Linked DNA regions of Danio rerio. The protein of the gene in region 1 purifies or fractionates together with the protein of each later gene. This does not show direct contact. Links are inferred from orthologs where the notes say so. Each region holds a gene or a part of one and is shown in the gene's direction. Other genes may lie near its edges. The genes, in order: hsd17b10 and trmt10c.

Region 1 (3,764 bases):
ACATTTAATTGACAGTAACATTTTATCTACATTGCAAGAGATCGTTTTATCAGTGTTGCCATGACAGCACAATAGCACTATTGCAAGCAGCATGAACATGTATACGAAATAAAACTGTACTCACAACATATTTTAAGCGACTTTGTTTTTCTGGTGAGCATGTGTGGTTCATGCATTGATAAGTGTACCTGAGCGAAAAATCCACAGAGCTGAATATTGAGCTGTTTTGAACATTGAACTCTAAATGGTGTAGATAATTTTCAGTGGGTGAAAATTCGATGTTCCCCTAGCTATCCTAAGGTAATTGTTTTGTTTTTGATACAGTGAGGTTGAATTTCCCTAAAGTGTTAGTACTTGAAGTAAAGGAGGAAATCTGAACATAAACAATGATATTTTGTTTTGATTCTTAACTATGAAAGGTGAACATCGCTGGGACATTTAATGTAATCAGACTGGCTGTAGGCGAGATGGGAAAGAATGAGCCTGATGCTGATGGACACCGAGGCTGCATCGTCAACACAGCCAGTGTGGCTGCTTATGATGGCCAGGTAACTCACACATAAGCTAACATTCACAGGTCATTTTCTTGACTGCCAAATCAGCATATTTGCACTCCTTGAGCTTTTAAACATAAGCACTTCAAATATTCAACTATGGGAGACTTTAAGCTTTGCAAAGCTTTATAACAATTAAAAATATTTTGAAGCATTCTGTGCAAATACAGCAAAAACTCAAGCCAAACATGCATTAAAGAAGTTAACCTAAAAATTACAATAATGCCATTTACTCAAAACTTATAAAGATAATATATTGAAAAATGCTGGTACCCACTGACTAGCATAGTAATTTGTGTACTTCCTTTTGCTACTATGGGTACCAGCAAACATTATTCAAATTATCTCCTCTTTTGTTCAACAAAGAAAAGAGTCCCATAAAGGCTACATGAGGGAGAGTAAATTAGATTTTTGGGTAAATCATCCTTTTAAAATGGGCCTATTTAAACATTGTAAATGGTTCATTTAAAGTTTAAACTATCAAATACAAACAGCTTATCATTAAATATCATAAAAAGTATATGTATTTTTAAACATTTTTAGGGCTTATATTGCTTGTTCTATTGTGGTCTTATTCACTATTAGTCTTTTAAATTCCAAATGTATCTTAGAACTGATCCGAGTTCAGGTAAAAATTACTGAACCCGTCTCTGTAGTAATAACTCAATTTGCTACTATATTCCCAATATTATATTTGACAAATTAAGGTGGCTTACACTTTCTTTTAAAATGTAATTTCATCCCTTCTAAATTGCCAGTTTCCCTCTCTAACTTTCACAAACAAGCTTTACTTTCTTGGAAATTATTAATTACGTGCACAATTTTCACCACACAAAGACATTTTTTGGAATAACACTAATGTCTTAATTCGTGGGAAATATCTTTTTATTGATATGTGGTTTGAAAGAGGAATTGTTTTTGTTTTGCACAAAAAAATAGTGGCAATATTCTGGAATATGAAGAATTTATGACATTGTATAATTTGTATAATTTCCGTATAATTTGCCAGCCAAATCCTTTATCTGTGTTATAAAGAGTTTGTCACAAAGTTATGTGGATTTATTTTAAATTTTTCTTTACTTTAATGAGAGGAAAACACTTATGCCTAACACCATATGCCTATTACCAAATTGCGAATTAGTTTGATATATTTTATTTTTTGTACTTTCTGCAATATTCACTTATTCTATAGTTGCACTTACGTTAAACATCTTTGGAATAGCATTATTTTTTATTCATCGTCCTTATTTAAACATGATTTAAATTTGTCTGTAAAATATATATTTCTGTGTTTCTCAGGTAATGATGATGCTCTTGATCTTATTGTAAATTTTTTTTTTGTGTTTTTTTGTTTTATACATAAAAATAAGTTCCTAAAAACAATACCTATATTTAATACTGTCCTTGCTGAAATTTCGTACAATATTGATTCGCTTAAGCTTATTAGTAATAATAAAAATAATACGATTTTTTAAAGCTTATGATAATATTGAGGCTTTATAAAGTTTTTTTTTCTTCCTTTCCTATTTCTTTGTTGTTGTATCTTTTCTTTAATGCAGTGATGTTTTTATTCTTGTATTAAAAAAAAAAAAAAAAACACTGAAAGTTGTTTAGTTCACCACTTGGGGGCGACCCGAGTCAATCATCATGTGAATGTTTTGGTATTTACCTGGACGCCCCAGTTGAGAATCATAACATTTTCAAAACAAATTGAAACGCTACTGAAACTACAATTGAATGTGCTCTAAACCGCTGAAACATTTGTAAATGCTTAGAAGCTTCATTAAGCAGTTTTCACTACAGCTTCTGTAATGTGTGTTTTAAGGTGGGTCAAGCTGCATACTCCGCCTCTAAGGGAGGCATTGTAGGAATGACTCTTCCTATCGCTCGAGACCTCGCTCCGATGGGCATTCGCGTGGTCACTATTGCCCCAGGTCAGTGACACTGAGATGAAGATTGCTCAAACTTTGTCTTCATTAACTTAGTGTTTTGTGACCTTGTTTTATCCCCACAGGCCTGTTCGCTACACCACTGCTAGCAGGTTTACCAGAGAAAGTGCAGAGTTTCCTAGCCAGACAGGTGCCCTTCCCGTCACGTCTGGGAGATCCAGCTGAGTTTGCACACCTTGTGACTTCAATAGCAGAAAACCCTATGATTAACGGTGAGGTGATCCGCCTGGATGGAGCCATTCGCATGCAGCCTTGAAGGGAAAAACTTAGAAACTCCAGGTGAAATACTCAGAACAGAACAGAACATTGGCTGAAGAATGTGTATTAATTATTTTCAGGATACTTTCAATCTGATTGAAAATGCTACTTTGAATATGTGAGTGTTTTTTTTTTTTTTTTTAACCACTGGAAATCTTGTAGATGGATGTATTCTTTGGTTGATGTGGTGTATAGTGACTGCACTGCTCTGCCATTGACTCTATGATCTGAACTATAGTAAATGCATTTCTACAAGCATCACTTTGCCATAAAAGCTAAATGTATCTGTCCACATATCGTTTCCTGTAAAATAAACTGTAAATCATTATATGGGTTGTAATGAATGAATCTAAGAAAAGCACAACTTAAAATAAACAAACAAGCTGAATGGTTTTGGGTTTTGCACCATATAGACTTTGTTAATATTATTATTCAGATAATCATGTCTACATTTATTCACCAATACTTCATAAATGCACTACTGACACTTCAAATTAAAAAGTTAGAGTAGACTGAATAACGACCAATAGAGGGCAGAATTGAGCTTGTTTTGATTGAATCAGCACAGAAGTCTCATGTGACCTTTTCATATTGTCCCTCTCTATGACCAAAAGGGTAACAGGTTTTAATATCAAAGCATTATTAAATATTTTAAATGCTATTTTTCGTTAGACATGTTTAAAATACATTTTTAAATTCCCTAAATAACATTCTTAAATGTTTTTGATGGTTGTGAATGTTTGCATTGGTTTTATTATTTTTATTATATTTTTTAAAAAGACGTGCCTATTATATATTACATGCACATTGCGATCACCATACAAAAAAAAAAAACCCTGGAAAGTATTGGCAGCTGTGCACAAGTCATACTAAATCCTTTACGGAACAGACTGAGCATAATTAAAGTAAACCCAGATTGATGTTGGTAAATCTCCTTACACACACACACACACACACACACACAGCTGATTGATTTCTGTTCACAGGGTGGCAGTTTCACTAT
Region 2 (4,521 bases), on another chromosome or scaffold:
TATAATAGATACTTTAATAGCCAACTAAATCGAGGTATTTAAGTGAAATACATGCGTGGATCAAGTCAAACTCAAGTGACTACATGAAATGTTAATCACAAATAGATTCATTATATACACATAGTGATTATAAACATAGAATATATACTAAATGAAAGCAAAGTGTTTAAAATTAATTTAGTTTAAATAACCGCTATTACATGTAACTTATTTATGCAAGTAATAATTGATGAATCTTCATTGAGTTAACAGAAAAACAAGTGTGCATTATATACTGATAACTCAATATTGAGGAGTGCATTATTCTGCTTATTCTCAGCTAAATCCACAGTTCAGATGTTGTGTTTGAGAGTGTATTTGTCAGGTTTTTGCTTCTGTGTGTAGCACTAGTGTCCTCCACATCTCCTCTGAAGGCTTCTGTTGTGATTTCTTGTAGCTGTGAAATAACTCTAATCATTCAGCGGAGTGATATGAAGCTGTAAACCTGTCGGAACTACTTTAGCTGTGCCTTTATCTGACAATAACCAAACACCTGAGAGTGACCATTCAACTGTGCTGTGGTATAAACAGAAATAAACAACATGCTTAATCTGAGCTGTACTTGTGTTTATGAAAGATAGAGACACGAAACAAAGATTTCATTTGACTTTTGATGAGTATTTGGGGGGCAAACCGTGATCATTAAATAACAAGTCTTTTAATAGGTCTGAAAATGACTTTATTCTCTAAATAATATGATTTTTGAACATCAAACTGTTGATACTGGCTGATGATTATAGTTATTAGTTTTTTGTTTAGACCAAACAACTTCTTACAGCCTAAAACATACATATATCTATACAACGTGACTGTTCGAGTACACAAAGACATTATTAGTAAGCTGATAATAATTATTAAGCTTATTATAATGCGTACAGACGTACATATAAAGCGATACAGACCACAGAGAGAGCATATATTATACTCACTAATGTATTAATATAGAGTGATACGGACATCAGAGTAAACATATATATTAATTAACGTTAATTAACCCATTAGTTAATGATTAAAGATGACTAATAACCGACTCACGATCTCGTCGATCTGCAGACACACCGAATCTTCATCTCTGCCGAAGCGCAGCACGAGAACCTTCTCAGCGACACTCTTAATCGCCTCATCAATGTCTTTTTTACTCGACAGTTTAGGGAGGAAAAGGCTCATGACGCTTTAATTAAAATAAAACCCACTTATCAATTGAATTAACATGGAGGAGGGTGTGCGCGAACTCCTGCGGATGTTTACTAATGTGTGGTACAACACTATATTAGAACCGACTAGAAACGCCAACAACTGTTCCAACACAGTTTACGTGTCTTCACTTAAATAGCATATTATTACTAATGCAAAATTTAAAAAACATATAATTTAAAATAAGATTAATATTAGTATTTGCACACAAATGTGTACACAAATCATCTTTTTAATATTGATTTTCGCACGGTCAGATTTCACTGCTGCACACAGACATCCACATGACACCAACAGCGCGTGTGTCCTTTTGAGGGTCCTGTAGTGACTTCTGAGTGGACTTGCTGGCCAGCAGCTGATGTGGAACAGAGATTTACTTTAATTAAAGTGTAAATAATGTTGTAGGGGTTGAAGAGGACGGGGGTGGGCGTCACAGTGCTGATTTAATCTGATTTTCTTTCCCCAACAGTGAGTATTTCTGAATGATACCGCGAACATTTGGTAATAATTCTACTTTAATGCGAGGCACTACAGGTTAGTTATGTTAACCAGTATACTACAATGTCATTTGATATTTCTTATGTTTAAATATACTAATAAGTTATCAGACAATTAATTATACAGTAATTTACCGAACATAAATCAGAAGATTAAATGAAGCAGGTTCAGAATTCTCTTGCATTTGTTGACACGATAAACGTTTTTACAGATGAGGTTTTAGATTCTGTTTTTATCAAATACAAACACTGTTAGAGATGAACAGAATAAACTAAGCATATTGCAATATATATTGATGTACACTAATCGGCCACTTTATTAGGTACACCTCACTAGTACCGTGTCGGACCCGCATTGCCTTCAGATCTGTCTTAATCCTTGGTGTCAGAGATTCAACAAGCTGCTGGAAATATTCCTCAGAGATTTTGCTCCATGACAGCATCACACAGTTGCTGCAGATTTGTCGGCTGCACATCCATGATGCCAATCTCCCGTTCCACCACATCCCAAAGCTGCTCTATTGGATTGAGCTCTGGTGGCTGTGGAGGCCATTTGAGTACAGCGAACTCATCGTCATGTTCACCAGTGTGAGATGATTGAGCTTTATGCTGCGTTATCCTGCTGGAAGTAGCCATCAGAAGATGGAGACACTGTGCTCATAAAGGGATGGACATGGTCAGCAGCAATACTCAGGTAGGCTGTGGCGTTGATGCTCAATTGGTACTAATGGACCCAAAGAAAATCTCCCCCACACCATTACACCACCACCACCAGCCTGAACCGCTGATACAAGGCAGGATGATCCATGCTTTCATGTTCTGATGCCAAATTGTGTTTGTGTTGTGTGTTCAGAGATGCTCTTCTGCAGAGCTCGGTTGTAGCGAGTGCTTATTTGAGTTACTGTTGCCTTTCTATCAGCTGGAACCAGTCTGGCCATTCTCCTCTGACCTCTGACCTCATCATCAAGGCATTTGCGCCCACAGAACTGCCGCTCACTGGATATTTCCTCTTTGTCGGAGCATTCTCTGTAAACCCTAGAGATGGTTGTGCGTGAAAATCCCAGTAGATCAGCAGTTTCTGAAATACTCAGAGCAGCCCGTCTGGCAGCAACAACCATGCCACGTTCAGAGTCTCTTAAATCCCCTTTCTTCCCCATTCTGATGCTCGCTTTGAGCTGAAGCAGATTACAGATTTGCGGTAATGAGCAGTCAGACAGGTGTACCTAATAAAGTGGCCAGTGTGTTTTTGTTTTACACTTTTCACTGCTCTGTTGTCATTTCAGTCACAAGATCTTGAAATGGATCTGATCTGATTAATGGCTGGATTACAGTGGTAGAGTTTTTAAATACCTGATCTCTGTGCTGTTCTCCTCTCCTCAGCTGATGATGTTTCTGCGCTGGTGTTTCCCGCCGGTCAGACGGATGTGTGTGTGTCAGCAGATCTCCGTCAGGTCCTTCAGCAGCAGCCGGACGCTCCTCAAAGATGACCCACAGCATGAGGAGAAGCTGGATCTGGACATCTGGAAGTCTGTGATGAGAGCTCAAGCTCTGCCGGAAGATCCTCCGCATCTCCAGGACTCGACATCGGCTGCGTCTGTGCTGGAGGCGCACCGAGAGCTGGTGGAGACCTGGCATCAAGCTGGAAAGGTGATGCTACACTTATTATAACCCTTAAATCCCCCTCAGATTGACTCCTCTTTGGTGATGTTGGTGCTGTTTTTGCCCCATTGACACACACATGCATGTATGTATGTATTTCTACACGTATACCTCCACGTGTGCAGCTGGTGCCGAAGGTGATCACGGATCAGCAGCTGCAGGAACTCTCCATTCTCACCACTAAATCCTCCAAGAAGAAATACCTCAAATTCCTGGCCATCAAGGAGGCGCAGAAGAACAACGACAAGAGGAAGCAGGAGAAGAAGAGAGCTGAGAGAGAAGCGGGAAAACTCCAGAACAATAATGGAGAGGAGGAGGAGGAGGAGCGAGCCGCAGGCCCCGAGAACACCTTCATGCTGAGGCTCCGCAACAACTCCATCGAGAGCGCACACAACTGGAGGACGGTGAGTGTGTGCTGATGCATATTCTTTATCTGAGTGTGCGTGTATGTGTAGGGTTTGAGTGTGTGTGTTACTTTCTGTGTGTGTGCAGTGTCTTGTGTGTGTGTGTGTGTGTTTGTGTCTGAGTGTAAATGTAGTTCTGAGTGTCTAGTGCAGGGGTGTCAAACTCAATTCCTGGAGGGCCGCAGCCCTGCACAGTTTAGTTCCAACCCTGCTCCAACACACTTACCTGTAGGATTCAAACAAGCCTGAAGAACTCAATTAGTTTGATCAGGTGTGTTTAATTAGGGTTGGAACTAAACGGTGCAGAGCTGCGGCCCTCCAGGAACTGAGTTTGACACCTGTGCTGTAGTGTGTCTGAGTGTATGTTTGTGTCTGTGTGTCAAAATGCGTGTGTGTGTCTGAGTGTGTGTTTGTGTCTGAGTGTAATATTTGAGTGTGTGTGTGTGTGTGTGTGTATTGTTTGAGTGTGTTTGTGTCTACATTTGTGTGTGTGTAGTGTCTGAGTGTGTAGTGTTTGTGTGTGTTTGTGTCTGAGTGTAATGTTTGATAGTGTGTGTGTGTGTGTGTGAGAGAGAGTAGTGTTTGAGTGTGTGTGTGTGTGAGTAGTGTTTGAGTGTCTGAATGTGTGTGTGTTTGTGTTTAAATGTTTGTGTTTGTCTAAATGTGTGTGTAGTGTCTGTGTGTGTGTTTGTGTCTAAATGTGTGTGCGTTTGTGTCTGAATGTGTGT

What was found.
Region 2: the proteins of hsd17b10 (region 1) and trmt10c purify together in Homo sapiens (co-immunoprecipitation; 3 studies listed by BioGRID and IntAct, counting the BioPlex papers as one, with this or other methods). This does not show direct contact. The link is inferred for Danio rerio from reciprocal best matches to the Homo sapiens genes HSD17B10 and TRMT10C.

Annotation. Positions count from the first base shown.
Region 1 is NC_133198.1:21,273,207-21,276,970, reverse strand, and holds the end of hsd17b10 (3-hydroxyacyl-CoA dehydrogenase type-2), read left to right. Parts: intron 1-419; coding exon 420-548; intron 549-2,379; coding exon 2,380-2,488; intron 2,489-2,568; coding exon 2,569-2,759; 3' UTR 2,760-3,154; downstream 3,155-3,764. UniProt on the Homo sapiens protein: Mitochondrial dehydrogenase involved in pathways of fatty acid, branched-chain amino acid and steroid metabolism. Acts as (S)-3-hydroxyacyl-CoA dehydrogenase in mitochondrial fatty acid beta-oxidation, a major degradation pathway of fatty acids.
Region 2 is NC_133176.1:786,111-790,631, reverse strand, and holds the start of trmt10c (tRNA methyltransferase 10 homolog C), read left to right. Parts: upstream 1-1,507; 5' UTR 1,508-1,701; intron 1,702-3,110; 5' UTR 3,111-3,113; coding exon 3,114-3,377; intron 3,378-3,514; coding exon 3,515-3,793; intron 3,794-4,521. Other genes in the region: txnl4b (thioredoxin-like protein 4B), read right to left, coding at 1,075-1,206. UniProt on the Homo sapiens protein: Mitochondrial tRNA N(1)-methyltransferase involved in mitochondrial tRNA maturation. Component of mitochondrial ribonuclease P, a complex composed of TRMT10C/MRPP1, HSD17B10/MRPP2 and PRORP/MRPP3, which cleaves tRNA molecules in their 5'-ends.